Linked DNA regions of Arabidopsis thaliana. The protein of the gene in region 3 interacts with the protein of the main gene of each other region in a pairwise test. Each region holds a gene or a part of one and is shown on either strand. Other genes may lie near its edges.

The links.
Region 1: the proteins of NF-YA8 (region 3) and NF-YC9 interact in binary tests that used the Arabidopsis thaliana proteins (3 or more experiments, as listed by UniProt).
Region 2: the proteins of NF-YA8 (region 3) and NF-YC1 interact in a two-hybrid assay, tested with the Arabidopsis thaliana proteins (2 studies listed by BioGRID).

What each region holds. Positions count from the first base shown.
Region 1 is NC_003070.9:2,880,502-2,885,448, reverse strand, and holds NF-YC9 (nuclear factor Y, subunit C9), read right to left. Parts: upstream 2,959-4,947; 5' UTR 2,763-2,958; exon of another isoform or gene 2,309-2,762; 5' UTR 2,306-2,308; coding exon 1,610-2,305; 3' UTR 1,601-1,609; exon of another isoform or gene 1,419-1,600; 3' UTR 1,107-1,418; downstream 1-1,106. Other genes in the region: AMI1 (amidase 1), read right to left, coding at 1-98, 174-299, 391-515, 648-800, 882-994; CAX11 (cation exchanger 11), read right to left, coding at 3,572-4,336, 4,876-4,947. UniProt on the Arabidopsis thaliana protein: Stimulates the transcription of various genes by recognizing and binding to a CCAAT motif in promoters. Interacts with REF6 to directly regulate SOC1 transcription in response to flowering signals from photoperiod and gibberellic acid pathways.
Region 2 is NC_003074.8:18,007,487-18,012,244, forward strand, and holds NF-YC1 (nuclear factor Y, subunit C1), read right to left. Parts: upstream 2,533-4,758; 5' UTR 2,453-2,532; coding exon 1,752-2,452; intron 1,411-1,751; coding exon 1,407-1,410; 3' UTR 1,107-1,406; downstream 1-1,106. Other genes in the region: XTH11 (xyloglucan endotransglucosylase/hydrolase 11), read left to right, coding at 28-128, 230-420, 504-855; AT3G48600 (SWIB complex BAF60b domain-containing protein), read right to left, coding at 2,682-2,819, 3,201-3,530, 3,659-3,877; NPC6 (non-specific phospholipase C6), read right to left, coding at 4,167-4,636. UniProt on the Arabidopsis thaliana protein: Stimulates the transcription of various genes by recognizing and binding to a CCAAT motif in promoters.
Region 3 is NC_003070.9:6,049,407-6,054,859, reverse strand, and holds NF-YA8 (nuclear factor Y, subunit A8), read left to right. Parts: upstream 1-2,231; 5' UTR 2,232-2,456; exon of another isoform or gene 2,457-2,807; 5' UTR 2,808-2,875; coding exon 2,876-3,158; intron 3,159-3,308; coding exon 3,309-3,409; intron 3,410-3,490; coding exon 3,491-3,565; intron 3,566-3,772; coding exon 3,773-3,928; intron 3,929-4,007; coding exon 4,008-4,379; 3' UTR 4,380-4,696; downstream 4,697-5,453. Other genes in the region: AT1G17600 (Disease resistance protein (TIR-NBS-LRR class) family), read left to right, coding at 53-355, 480-1,571, 1,646-1,834. UniProt on the Arabidopsis thaliana protein: Stimulates the transcription of various genes by recognizing and binding to a CCAAT motif in promoters.

The DNA.
Region 1 (4,947 bases), 3.2 Mb from region 3:
GATAATCAGTTGAGATGGTTCGATGGGGTTCAAGTGATGCTGCTGCAGGAGAACGCAACCTACACGTTTCAAAGTGGCTGTGTCCCGAGCAAACCATCCTAAAGACAATGTTGGATCCATCAATATCAAGATTCAGTTTAACCATTAACATCTCGGATTTTAGTTTTCGTTACCAACTGTGTCGAAGCTCTGAGCCATTGGAGTAAGTCCGACAGTGGAAACTGCACCGTGGGATGGCCGGAAACCGAAAATCCCACAGTAAGATGCTGGAACTCGTACACTCCCTCCGGTATCAGTTCCTGATTGATCAAAAACCAATTAGACAGGGAAGAAAAATACTTTATGATCAGTAGTATGGTTACAACTTTTGGCAATTTTTCTTCAGCTCACCAATAGAAAAATCCACAAGACGAGCAGCTACAGCTACGGCTGAGCCACTCGATGATCCCCCAGGCACTCTATCGAAAGCAATCGGGTTTCTCGGAGTCCCATAATGCGCATTTTCTCCGTTTATACTGCATATTAAGTAAGAACATGCTCAGAAAAAACGTAACAAACCTAGTCATATTTTAGTTCTAGCCTCTGTTATGACATATCCTGTTTCTTAAAACATGAACTCCTAAACCAGAAAAGATGTGAAATTGAACCTGTAAGCCATTTCATCCATAATGGTAATACCCAAAGCTGTGGCACCAGCTTCTAAGAGAGATGAAACTACTGGAGCTGTAGAAGTAGCTGCCGAGTGTGTCCTTAACCAATCCGGGTTACCAAAACCGGTAACGCGTCCTTCCACATCAAAACTGATCAAACCAAGCAATAAGCTCAAAAATTGATTGACAAGAAAGTATAGAAGAAACTCTGTAAGTAGTTGGATATCTTACATGTCTTTAATGGCGAAAGTAAGACCCTGTAGAGAAGGAGGCGACGAGGAAGTAGAAGTTGGAGAGATTGTAACTTTCTCAATGAAAGCTCCAAAATCATTATTGGTCGCCATTGATGCAGCTCCCTTTCTGAGAAGGTAGATGACGACCAAGTAACGCTTCTTGTAGATAAAAGCTATCACATTATTAACGCGGCTACAGTGGCCAAGTCATTTTCTATTTTGTCTTTTCCTTAATATTATTGTCCTTTTGTTTTAAATATCCAATGAGATACATTTTGTGGATAATAACTTAATATGTGTGATAAAGACACAGAAATTAACATTCAAATAAAAAAACTTTTGTCAAAAGCACACTTGTTTCTTACAGTTTATACATTCTTCTTTCTGGTTCATCCCTAAATTTCTCGTTTAGAAAAGGATCGATAGACATAAACACTTTAGATTCTTCTACAACACCCAATTTGACAATTCTGATATGTTCTTTTCATTTTCTTGTCTAAGGTCTCCCTCCTTTCACCTGGACGAGACTAGAACGCTGCAGGGAGAAAAGCGAATACACTATCACATTTTTACTTCAATAAGATAAGAATACCAAAACTGACATAGTACCAAACTGAGACGATACTGAAATAAGTTATACAAAGGTTACCATTATTCGAAAACAGAAACAAAACCCCAAGACTACAAGGTAGGCCTAAAAGAAGCTGGAAGACTCACAGTTTCTTGCTAATTTTCCTGGTCAGGTTGGTCAGGTGCCTGTTGTTGCCACATTGGTTGACCCATATAAGGATTAGGTGGATACGCACCACCGGGATTACCCATAACCATTCCCGGATTTCCTATTGGAGCAGTTCCTGCAGGCAAGTATCCATACGGGTAACCAGCAGCAGCAGCTTCCGGGACAGTGCCCCTCGGAATACTTCCCAAGACTTCATCTCGGAGATCCTCCCGGGGAACAATATCCACAAGGAAATCAAAAATATCGGTTCTAGTCACAGCAGCAGCAATATCGTTCTTCTGCAACGTCCGCCTCTTATTCTCCTCAGTGTGGTTCCACGACCTGAGTGTCAGCTCCAGGATGAACATCTCACAGGCCCTTGCAAACACGACAGGCGCCTCAGCCGAGATCATACGGACATCTTCATCCGCTTTCATGATTTTCTTGATTCTCGCAAGGGGAAGGCTGTGGTTCTTGAAATCGGTAGTCTTCTCAATCTCTTTGAATTGGTTCTCCCAAAATGCTTGAAGCTGCTGTGCCAGCTGTTGCTGCTGCTGCTGCTGATGGATCTGGTGGAACGCCAGCTGGCCTGGTTGTGCCGCACCTCCTGCTACAGTAGCAGCAGTGGTGCTCATCGGGTTGGTTTGGTATGGGTTTGTGCCATAGTTCATAGCTCCAGACTGTCCATGGTCTTGTTGATCCATTCACTACCAGAATAAAAAAACAGAACTTTGGGATTCATTCTAAGCTCTTAAGAAACATCTGACCAGAATTTTAAAGAAATGTGAAGGAGATAAGGTTGCTAACAAACAATTTACATAAATAAGAATCTGCTGAATTTACTTTATATATGGTCTAATCTGTAATTCTAGATTAACCTTGAAGATCTAAACAGCAATAAGTATGAAAATTGAGCTTCGAATTAAAAGACAATACATCAACCTACTTATTCCAACCCATAAATTTGATAAGGAAAACAGGAAAATATCGAAAGGGATTGCCTTTAATTTCCTTCAAAATAGACAGAACAAAGAATCTGCTAACACAGAACAACTAGAATTGTTCCTACAACACCAAGCATATTATTTTATCATGTGAATTCCACAATATATAAGTAAGAACAAGTCAAATTGAAAAAAAGAATCTGCAAACGAGAGTGACCTGTGGAAAGGAGAATCTGAAGGGGAAGAGACTGGTTGATCCTCTTGGTGGGTAGAGAGAGTTTTAAGATCTGGTTTTTTTGTGTTAATTTGTTGTGATTTTATTAGGGTTTTGCTGCTTTACCCTTTTTTCGACTTTAACAATGAGGAGGAATTTAGAAAGACAAGGGGAAGTAAGTGGAAAGAGCTTTAAAAGCTGGGTGTCGTGTCAACCATTGGGCTTATGTCAAGATTCTTCTGCTCTTGTCAGATCATGATTTGTTTTATCTCTTACATTAATTAATTCATTTTTATTATCTTCTTAGGATTTAATTGGCAACCTTTAATTATCTTCTTTGGAGGTTCAAATTTCACAAGTAGTTTTGTTGTATCACAACATATTTGGCATTCACAGAGAATCAAATCACATAAAAAAGAACCAGAATCAACATTTTGTTCTGCTCTAATACACATTCTAGGATCAATGAAGTATTTCTCATTAATATCAAAAGAATACAAATGTGTGGTTTATACATATATAACAGACCCAAAAAAACAAGACCAGTACAATCAATGGAAAAGTAAACCAGATGGGGGAGTCAAAATCTTCTCCCAAAGCACATATATTTTACCATCACCTATCTACCAAACTTTACTAATCTGGCTCGGACGATCACAAGAACTTTTTGTGGGATTCGAAGATTACTGGTCTGGCGGTGGCCATCAGCTGAGCTCAAAATTTTGGCAATTCCCTTCTAGACAACAAAAATTCCTAAACAATGAACCCTGGTTGACCCTAGATTATTCAATGTGCAGACTTCACGCATATGATCAGGTTGAAACGCTGGCGATGATCAAACTAACAAATGTGAAAGCAACATACAGTCCAACAAGACAGATCCCCCAGAATCTCGGAACTCGGAATCTAGACCAGGTTATTACCAACAGAGATCCCATTAGACTAAGCAACAAGAAGACGAAAGCTATCACAATACCTACATGGAATCCAAGTTTGTAAGCGTCTGGATATACATTAGCTGTTTGCATCACCAAGGCCGATCCAAGTCCAACAAGCATGTTAAACATTGGACCTGCAAAACAACCGGCCATAGCCATTGCTGGTCTACCTGCCTTTGCAACTGCCACGTCAGCAACTAGGTCACCAACCGAGTTTCCCCAAGCAAGAACGGTTAGGCCAAGGAGCGCCGGAGGCAGTTTAAGGAGGGTTCCAAGCGCAGCCAAGCAGTTAAGGAGCTCACCAGCAATTGTTGATATCCAGAAAACACTCATTATGAAAGCTACAACAATGACCGGCAGTTGCTCGGTTTTTGGTGGTTGTTTTTCTACTGTGAAGTGGAGGAACGCTAGGGAAGACGTCATGAAGAGGACAACAAGCCAAAGCGGGAGATGGGTGTTTGGAAAGAGGAATGAAATTGGGTGGTTTAGTTGTACAAAAGAGTTGCAAGTGTATAAAAGGGCAAAAGGGCAGAAAACAATGTTGGCAGAGCGATAAAACCTAGACCATTCCGAAGGAGAAGGTTTTGGGATGGTAAGGTTCAAAAGAACTGATACAGGAGTTTCCCACATCCTCGAGATCTGCAATCACAGCAGCAAAAGCAGAATCAGACAACCTTCACTAAACTTATTTCAAACTTAAATGCAGTCTAACAGAAAAAATATAGTAACCTGGATAAGATCCAAACAGGTAAACTCCTTTAGAGTCGAATTCACCAAAGGAATACATATCATAGAGAGACTTGATTAACGAGTCTTGACCAGTTCCCAATCCTAAACCCTACGAAATTCTCTCAAACTCATTTTGCCCAACTTCTTTCTAACATGTTAGCTCTCTAGCTAACCGATCTAACGATTGCTCCTGAGCTGTCAACACAGCTACAATCCAGTTGAAAACGCCTAAGCAAGTGAAAATGCTCATTCACTAGACTAACACAGAGACTTATCATAACCTTAGAGTACACTAAGAAGAAAACAGGAAGCAAATTAAAACCTTTAAACGCATAATCTAAACTAAACAATATCGGAGTTCACAATTGGTAGCTGAATATGATACTACCATAAAATTCCAGCATTATGATCGATAAACAAAGCTCAAAGATGAGTGAAGAAGAATTTACCGTTCCATAAAGCCGAAAAATTCCTGAAAATTGATGTTCTTTCTCTGCTTTATAACTCCCAAGAGAACCTGC
Region 2 (4,758 bases), on a different chromosome or scaffold from region 3:
ATTGTGATTGGTCTATGTTCCTTACAGGGTCCGGGTTTGAATCCCAATTGATTTACGGATCAGGATACTTCAACGTAAGAATCAAGGCACCTCAAACTACGTCTACGGGAGTCATTACTTCCTTCTATGTACGTGAATGACCAGTAAACTTAAGTTTGTCTAAAAATAAAGATGATGAGATTACGTACCTGAATAGCTTTTTGAAATCTGTTTTTCTGCTATACGGCAGTTAATCTCCCGTTCAAGCCGCCATGATGAGCTCTGTTTCCAGATCTTGGGAAAGAATGGGCCACCGTATTTGCTGAATACGAATATGTATCTGTACGGTGAAGGAGGCAAAGATCAGAGGTTTCGTCTCTGGTTTGATCCAACAAAAGATTACCATTCCTACAGTTTTCTTTGGAACCCTAATCAACTTGTGTGAGTATCATATAACACTTTTTATCAGATCATCCATTGATTAACATCAGTAACAAAAAGAAAATGTATTTCCACATTTTCAGGTTTTATGTTGACGATACACCGATCAGGGTGTACAGCAAGAATCCAGATGTTTACTACCCATCGGTGCAGACAATGTTCCTAATGGGAAGTGTGCAAAACGGATCGATAATTGACCCGAAGCAGATGCCTTACATTGCTAAGTTCCAGGCATCAAAGATTGAAGGGTGTAAGACTGAGTTCATGGGAATAGATAAATGCACTGATCCTAAGTTCTGGTGGAATCGCAAACAGCTAAGCTCTAAAGAGAAGACACTGTACCTAAACGCAAGGAAGACGTACCTGGATTATGACTATTGTTCTGACAGACAGCGATATCCAAAGGTGCCTCAAGAATGTGGAAGTTACACTTAGAGAAAGATCAATACCTGTCACAGGGTTAAGCCTACAAAACAATTATCTTGAAAAAATAACTTATGTTACTGTAAGATGCTTTATGATAAGCCTTTTCTATCAAATAACAACATTATTGTCATCAATGCTAGATACATTACTATGTCACGAGTTCATATACAGATACCTATTTACACAGAACCAAGTTGGTTCAGATCGGGTTTGCTTGAGGTTTACAAGCACTGAAACCTCTGAAAAGAACCTTACAGGTTACAAGACTGCATTTTCTCAGACATCAAGATAAGTCAAATATGAGAAAAAATCGGAAAGAAGCATACAATAGAAACTGCACATTAGATTATATATAGTTAGGCTAAGTCGCAGCAATGATGGTTTTGCTACAATAACATATACGTTAACAGAGAGAAACAAGAGTTTTTTTTACTCTTCTTTAACGAAGCCTTTTCATTGAATTTAGGCATAATCTATCAAACACATCCAAAATTCAAGGCGAGGTCGACTAATATCTGCTATCTTCAAGCAGGTCAAGCATCATCTGGAATACTCTGAGCTTAACTGCAAAAATGATACCAAAACATTGAAAGGTAAGTTTAAGGAGCCATAGTTCATTGATTCATTCAGATTCAGCAGAAGAGCAAGAGAATCTAGTTGTTTGATATAGCAATGTTTGCAAATTGCGATATGAAAACAATTTTCAAATCTTGATGATTACAGGATTAGAGATTGTTTATCATTCCAAATCCTAAAACCTTAATAAACAGAGAAATCTTGGACTAACATGATTATATCCCAAACAAACCAGACTTAGAGATTGTTTATCATTCCATCTCCTAAAACCCTAGACGATCATGTAATCAATCAATGTATATCACATTGCACAGAAAATGAAACTTTACCCTTGGCCGTCGAGATTCCCTTGACCGGAACTTCCACCACTACCATAAGAGACATCATCTCCCGTCCCCGTCGAAGTCTGCCAAACACTCTGCCACGCCTGAGACGGAGGCTGGACATAAACACCATTCGGATCCATAGCTGGTCTCCCAATCATCATCCCTCCAGGACCAGCTGGTTGTCCCATCGGCGGATAATAGTAAGGCACGCCGCTCGCGGTAGGAGCCACCACCATTCCACCACCGAGGACTGCGGCTTCGTCCTTAATCTCATCTCTAGGAACAATATCAACAAGGAAATCGAAGATATCAGTCCTAGTAATCGCAGCAGCGATATCGTTTTTCTGAAGCGTACGACGTTTATTCTCCTCAGCGTGAAGCCAAGATCTGATCGTGAGCTCGAGAATGAAAAGCTCACAAGCTTTCGCGAAGAGAATCGGTGCTTCTGCGGAGATCATACGAACATCTTCATCGGCTTTCATGATCTTTTTTATCCTAGCTAGTGGAAGCTGATGGTTTTTGAAATCGTTAACTTGTTCGATCTCTTGGCGTTGGTAGGTCCAGAATAGTTGGAGCTGTTGTTGTTGTTGTTGGAGAAGGTGGTGGTAAGAAGCTCCTCCTCCTGCGGCGGAGATGGTGGTTCCAGGTGGTGGAGGAGGGATTCCGGCGGCGGAGGGAGGTGGTTGCTGGTTGTTGGTATCCATTGGTCGGTTTTGGATTTTGATTTTTGGATCAAAAAGGTCGTGACAAGTTTTTGCCAAAGGGATTGGGGTACAAGTGGATAAGGTGGACAGCGATGTAGCTGATGATTTTCTCTCTTTTTTTTCTATTTCCTAAATTAATTTTTTTCTATTTTCTATTTCAAGTTAAATTTTGTTTTTTTTTTACACGTACCAAAGTTCATATGCATCCGAAATGAACCAAAAGAAAACATCAAGAGTGAAGAGAGCTGTCAGGAAAATGTTGCATCAAGAGTGAAGAGAGCTCTTTATTTCCGACTTTGTCTTTGCCATCGAGTATCGTCTTCAAGGTATCATCGCATCGTATCCGCCATTTACTACACTTCGTAATCTACAAATGAAACAAGTGAGCTCTAAACAAATCATAATCTCTAAACATGAAAATGCAATCTATGACCACCAAACAGAGAAGCAAGCACAAGGTCCAAAGCCACCTAAAGACACTCTATATTCGTAACTGGTGAATTCTTCATCTGACAGTGTATGAATTGACAAGCTAAGTTTTCAAAATATGCAATCAGAAAAGACCATTTCCACAAACAAAACCAAAACATTCAAGTGAGTAAACAACATTTTCAGCGTAGATGTCAATTACTCCAATAATGACCAACACAAGAATCAAATCACTACCATTCTCCAGTCTCTAGAGACTCCAATCCCTAAATGCATAAACATGTAAAGAGGAGATCATAAGGAAAGTAAAAAAGCTAACCCAAGGAAACTCGAGCAGAGTAACACCCTCATCTACGAGCTTGTGATCAAAGGCATAATCTAGCAATTTTCTCAAGGCGGCGTCAAAAGAGATTTCGCTTTGGCCGACGAATCTAGCCAGCGGCTCTGAGACTTTCACAATATCATTGAACCCCCATTTTTCTATAGTACCTCCACCGGTAGCCTTCACCTTCGCCGACATAGTTCTAACGTTAGGAAAATGTCGCAACAAAAGCTCCGTCATCTCTCTGACTCCGACGACTTTGTCTTGGCCATCGAAAATCGTCTTCAAGTTATCATCGCACAGTATCTCCTCTATATTCTCCGGATTCTACAAATCAAAGACCTATAAATCAGATACATTGCTCCAACAGAAAGAATCAGATCAAAAGACCTAGAAATCACCAAAAAAAAAAGTAGAATGAAAGGAAACTGGAGAAGAGTTTCGAAATCCCTAACCCAAAGATTGTGATCATCGGTATACTGCTCCACTTTCTCCATGGCGGTGGAAAAAGAGACTTCGCTTTGGCCGACGAATCTAGCCAGCGACTCTGAGACTGGAAAAATCTTATGAATTCCTCCTCTTCTATCAACGCCGGCGCCGGTAGCCGTCGCATTAGTCACCGCCTTCGCCATCAGTGTCCTGCATCCTCCTAGAATCTTAGAAATTGGCGACATTGTTGTTTCTCCTTCACTCCACTGCCCCTAACAATAAACAATTGAAGAAAAGTCTCCAACTAAAGAAATTGATGCAACTCATTTTGGGCCTTGTTGAATATTTATATATGGGCCTAATTGGGCTTCAGTTATATTGGGAGTTTATGAAGATCTTTCGATTGCTCAACATATCACTAACATTAACAATGAATTTTGTCTATTTCTTTGTTCCTCAATTCTAGTTTCCATACATAAAATCACACATTTTCAGATCAAAACATAGGAAGACGAATGCAAACAAGATTTTTAATCAGTTGTGTGGCCGTGTAGTGAGCGAAGATCGCATATCGACAATAGCAGATTTATCGGCACCAAGCTTCATTGCCTCTTTACTAGCTCTAATGAACCGAGAAGTAGCTCCTTTGACATACTCATGAGCTTGTTTCACAGTCATCTTCTTTCCAATTTCTTCCGGGAAGCTACTGAGGAAGTGATCACCATTGAGAACCGCTGCAAGCTGAACCACTTCACCTTGAAACTCAGAAAGAGCAGCGTCTTCTTTAGGCTCAGTGGCTCTCATAGGTGCAACTTCAGGTAGAGTCATGGGACAATCGGTTCGAGGAGTGGTTAAGTGAGATACAACGTCTTCGAAAGTAGCAGCCCATGCATCTCTATGTGTTAAGAAATTGGAAGAGAGATTGAAGAGTTTCTTGATTGTCGCTGGTATTGATGAATGCTCGTACTCTGAGCTCTCTGTTGGTCCTTTTGCTTCACTTACGACTTCATTCAAAACATATAATAAAATAAGATGTTATTAAACTATATATAGTAAAAAAATATTAAAATCAAATGGGGTCAAAGGATGGTTGAAAAACATGAGTCACGCAACGACGCCGACAAAT
Region 3 (5,453 bases):
CCTGACCTGACGAGTTTCTGGCTTTGTGTTTCTTTTGTCTTCTTATCATCAGGGAGGAGAACAAACTGAATGCATGTGCCTACACACGTGTGATATGACCTGTGTGTTATCCATGGAGGCCAGTGTTGTTGGCCGTATGCATAATCTCAAGTTTCTCAAGGTTTACAAGCATGTAGATTACAGAGAGTCGAATCTGCAACTCATTCCAGACCAACCGTTCCTGCCTCGTAGCCTACGGCTATTCCATTGGGATGCATTTCCATTGAGAGCCCTGCCTTCCGGTTCTGATCCATGTTTTCTTGTTGAACTCAATCTGCGTCACAGTGATTTAGAAACTCTCTGGAGTGGAACACCGGTAATCTTTTCTATGATTCTGCATCTTGTGTTTGTGTTTTTGATAGAGCAATGGTGTGAAAACAGAGAATCCTTGCGAGAAACATAATTCCAACTATTTCCATGTGTTGTTGTATCTTGCTCAGATGTTGAAGAGTTTGAAGAGACTAGATGTGACGGGATCTAAGCATCTCAAGCAACTTCCAGATCTTTCAAGTATCACGAGTCTTGAGGAATTGCTTCTGGAACAATGCACGAGACTGGAGGGCATTCCAGAGTGTATTGGAAAAAGGTCTACCTTAAAGAAGCTTAAGCTATCCTACCGTGGAGGGCGTAGAAGTGCCCTGCGGTTTTTTCTACGAAAATCTACAAGGCAGCAACATATTGGATTGGAGTTCCCAGACGCAAAAGTGAAAATGGATGCACTTATAAACATATCGATTGGGGGAGACATTACTTTTGAGTTTCGTTCAAAATTTAGAGGATATGCTGAATACGTCTCTTTTAATTCTGAGCAACAGATACCCATTATATCGGCGATGAGTCTGCAACAAGCACCTTGGGTCATCTCAGAGTGCAACAGATTCAATTCCCTCCGCATCATGAGGTTCAGCCACAAAGAAAACGGTGAATCTTTCTCCTTTGACGTCTTTCCAGATTTTCCCGACCTGAAAGAGCTAAAACTAGTGAACTTAAACATCAGGAAAATCCCATCTGGGATTTGTCACCTGGATTTACTAGAGAAGCTGGACCTCAGCGGAAATGATTTTGAGAACTTACCAGAAGCTATGAGTAGCCTTTCCCGGTTAAAAACTCTCTGGCTTCAAAACTGCTTTAAGCTCCAGGAGTTGCCAAAGCTAACTCAGGTGCAGACACTTACACTTACCAACTGTAGGAACCTTAGATCATTGGCGAAACTATCTAACACAAGTCAAGATGAGGGAAGATACTGTTTGCTTGAGCTTTGCCTTGAAAATTGCAAGAGTGTTGAATCATTGTCAGATCAGCTTAGTCATTTCACCAAGTTGACATGTTTAGATCTCAGCAACCATGATTTTGAGACATTGCCATCAAGCATCAGAGATCTTACCTCATTGGTAACACTTTGCCTCAATAACTGCAAGAAACTCAAATCGGTGGAAAAACTTCCCTTGTCTCTCCAATTTCTCGATGCACACGGCTGTGATTCTCTCGAAGCTGGTTCTGCAGAACATTTTGAGGACATACCAAACAAGGAGGTGAATACTTGGCTCTTGATCCGTCTCTACTATGATTGATGTAGTTACCCTTTATCATCTCCCTTCTTTTATAGGCACATACACGAAATGACTACTTCCAAGAAACTGAGATGTCGAGTTATGTACTGAAAACTCAAGCCACAAGAAATCGCCAAACCATCCGCCTTCCCAAGATCACACATGCGGTTATGTATGTAGGCATCCCTATCTGCATCACGCTAGTGGCTGCTCTTGTGATTTTACTCCTGCGTGTTTTCAAGTGAAACTCAAGACTCAGCAACAGCTTCCTCAAGACTTAAACTGTGTGCTTTCTTCTGTAATTTACCAGGTAGTAACAAACTTACTACATTTCAAGTCTCCCTTGCTTCTGCTTCTCTCTCTCTTTTCCACTCGCATTTTGGAACTGAGTTCCACTATATCCAAAGAACGCTTCAAGATTTTGTCCATAAACACAAAGAGTAGGCAGATTAGCTTTGCTTTAGATGCTTCAGCTGCCATATAGTTGCTCACTAGATTAGGCTTTTGACGATAGTTTTACTTTGTAAAGTGGATAGGCAGATAACTAGATAAGTGTTTACTTTGTTAAGTGAACAAAATAATAAGTCAATAAGATTAGAAAACTAATATATTAATTAAGCATTAAAAATACTAATGAAGGTGGCGGTACTGCTAATAATGGAGCTGGTGATTTTGTTGGAAAGGTAATGACTTTATAAGAGAGAAAATTGTGAGTGACGGAAATGAAGCATCAAAAGAATACACACACACACATACACACTGTTGAGTATCTATCTGAGAGAATAAGCAAAAGAGAAAAGAGATTTACTTTGTTTTGATAGGCATCCCTTGAGTTCCTGTTCTTCATCTCTTCCTTGAATCCGTAAGGTCTCTCTATCTCCTTCTCTTTGAATCCGTCATTTCTTCGCTTTTTTTTAGAGTGATGTGCTGATTCGGAAATCTTCTGGAAATTTCTTCCCAAGTCAACGCCTTTTAGGACGAAAGTAATGGTGCTGATTTTAGTTGGTCGGAACTTTACTTTTTTTTCTGCCGCGCTCTTCTAATAGTTTGCCCGAAATAGTTCTGAATGTTGCTCTGTTTCTGGGTTTTTTTCCCTTTTTGGATTATCCCCTTCTTTGTCTACTACATCGTCAAAGGTTTTGCTGTTTCCAGGAATAAATATCTTTTGAAAGTTTTATCATTTATAAAGATGTTCTGAATTTGGAGCTTCTTTGACAGACACATGTATCATCAATCTTCTCTGTTGAAGCAGAGAGAGAGAGAGCTAATTGTTGCCTCTGAGTCACATGGATAAGAAAGTTTCATTTACTAGCTCTGTGGCACATTCAACTCCACCATACCTTAGTACTTCCATCTCATGGGGACTTCCAACCAAATCCAATGGTGTGACTGAATCACTGAGTTTGAAGGTGGTAGATGCAAGACCAGAACGTCTTATAAACACAAAGAATATCAGTTTCCAGGACCAGGATTCATCTTCAACTCTGTCCTCTGCTCAATCTTCTAACGATGTTACAAGTAGTGGAGATGATAACCCCTCAAGACAAATCTCATTTTTAGCACATTCAGGTCCGTTTTAAACAACTTTGGGTTCTAGACAACTCACTATGATCTATTATGTTGAAGACGCATGGTGTTTTAGCTTGATCTTTGGTCCCATTTACGAAAGAATCCATCCCTTTGTCCTGAAAATGTTATCTTTCGCTCTCTTTCTTTCAGATGTTTGTAAAGGATTTGAAGAAACTCAAAGGAAGCGATTTGCAATTAAATCAGGCTCCTCCACGGCAGGAATCGCTGATATTCACTCTTCTCCTTCCAAGGTACCCGTATATCTACTACGAGTGACGATAAGCAGTACTTGTGATTGTTTACTGACATCTTGTGTTATACTCTGGTTTCAGGCTAACTTCTCATTTCACTATGCCGATCCACATTTTGGTGGTTTAATGCCTGCGGCTTACCTACCACAGGCAACAGTAAGTATATCCTCCTTGATTACATATGGTGAGGAGAATATTTATGCTAAACCTCATTTTTACTTAAGGTGGACTTGTTATGTAACATTATGCTCTGAAGTAGTTACATATACAGCTATAGAAAGAAATGCCATCCTTAAATGGTGAATTAGTCTTGCAATTTATTTCTCCATTTGAGATTTCAGTTTGCTTAAAAACTTTCTGCAGATATGGAATCCCCAAATGACTCGAGTTCCGCTACCATTCGATCTCATAGAGAATGAGCCTGTCTTTGTCAATGCAAAGCAATTCCATGCAATTATGAGGAGGAGGCAACAGCGTGCTAAGCTAGAGGCGCAAAACAAACTAATCAAAGCCCGTAAGGTATAGTATTTTGGTCAGCGTTTCGGTATCTTACTTTGGTTTAATGACTAAACATAACTCATTATCAAATATCATACAGCCGTATCTTCATGAATCTCGACATGTTCACGCTCTTAAACGACCTAGAGGATCTGGTGGAAGATTCCTAAACACCAAAAAGCTTCAAGAATCTACAGATCCAAAACAAGACATGCCAATCCAACAGCAACACGCAACGGGAAACATGTCAAGATTTGTGCTTTATCAGTTGCAGAACAGCAATGACTGTGATTGTTCAACCACTTCTCGCTCTGACATCACATCTGCTTCTGACAGCGTTAATCTCTTTGGACACTCTGAATTTCTGATATCAGATTGCCCATCTCAGACAAACCCAACAATGTATGTTCATGGTCAATCAAATGACATGCATGGAGGTAGGAACACACACCATTTCTCTGTCCATATCTGAGCCGGTGGAATCTGGTAATGTGTACGTTCCTACAAAAAAAGGGAAGTCATCCTTGGCTGCTACTTCGCTTATTAGCTAGTTCTTATTTCACACGCTTTGTCCAGATATCATTTGAATGACCAAAAACCTTCAAGCTTCAACTCTTTACTTTTCGTCTGTCGTTTGTACCATGGATCATCGTGTGTTAAGTCAGTGATTGGATTGGAGTGATGAATGTAAATGTAAATCTGATAACCGATAAGTCTCTGCTCTTTGCTTATTCATAGTTAGTAAAGCTAAACCAGATTCATACACTCCATTCCGGTGTTGTTTATATCATATATCATAGTCATAGAACACATTGACTAGAAGCGCAGCTTGGTCCCAATCCTCTGTAACAAGCCGTCCAACCACCTTCCCCGACCAAGTTTCTAACCGTCTGTAGATAGTCAGACTGCAGTTCCTATCGTTACTACTACTACTATTACTATCTTCCACATTTAGAACCTGCAGTCTAGTCTTTAATTATGTCACTGTAATCAAAGCGGAGACACTACCAGCAATGGCGGCAGTAACACCTTGAACAAATGTTCCCTAAACGCTTTTCTGTCTGAGTACCCCCGAGTTACAATCACTAGCAGTGTATTTATACACAAAGGGAATATCTCTTAACACAGATATGTTTCCAAAAACATACAAACATAACTAAAGACTAGACTGTAAAGGATGACGGGAAATTGCAATGTTTCTTTTGCAACACGTTTTCACCACGTGTCGATGTTGTTGACACATTAACTAACGCAAGAGTTATCCTTCTTTTGATCTTTTCCTTGATGTAATACTTTGGGCTTCAATTTTGGGCTTCAACTTTGGCCTTGTAAACTTGTTTGGATCAGTCAATAAAGAACAATAGTGACAAAAAAAAAAACTAATAATTTGAAAAATGATAAACAAAGTAAAATTCATTAAGCAAATGGCCTATCAACGCATGGACACAACAAATATTTAGTTCACATATATATATTTTTTCCTACCCAATATACCCCTATTAATAGTAGAACAGTACCAGAAAGCCACTGGCAAAGATAGGCATAT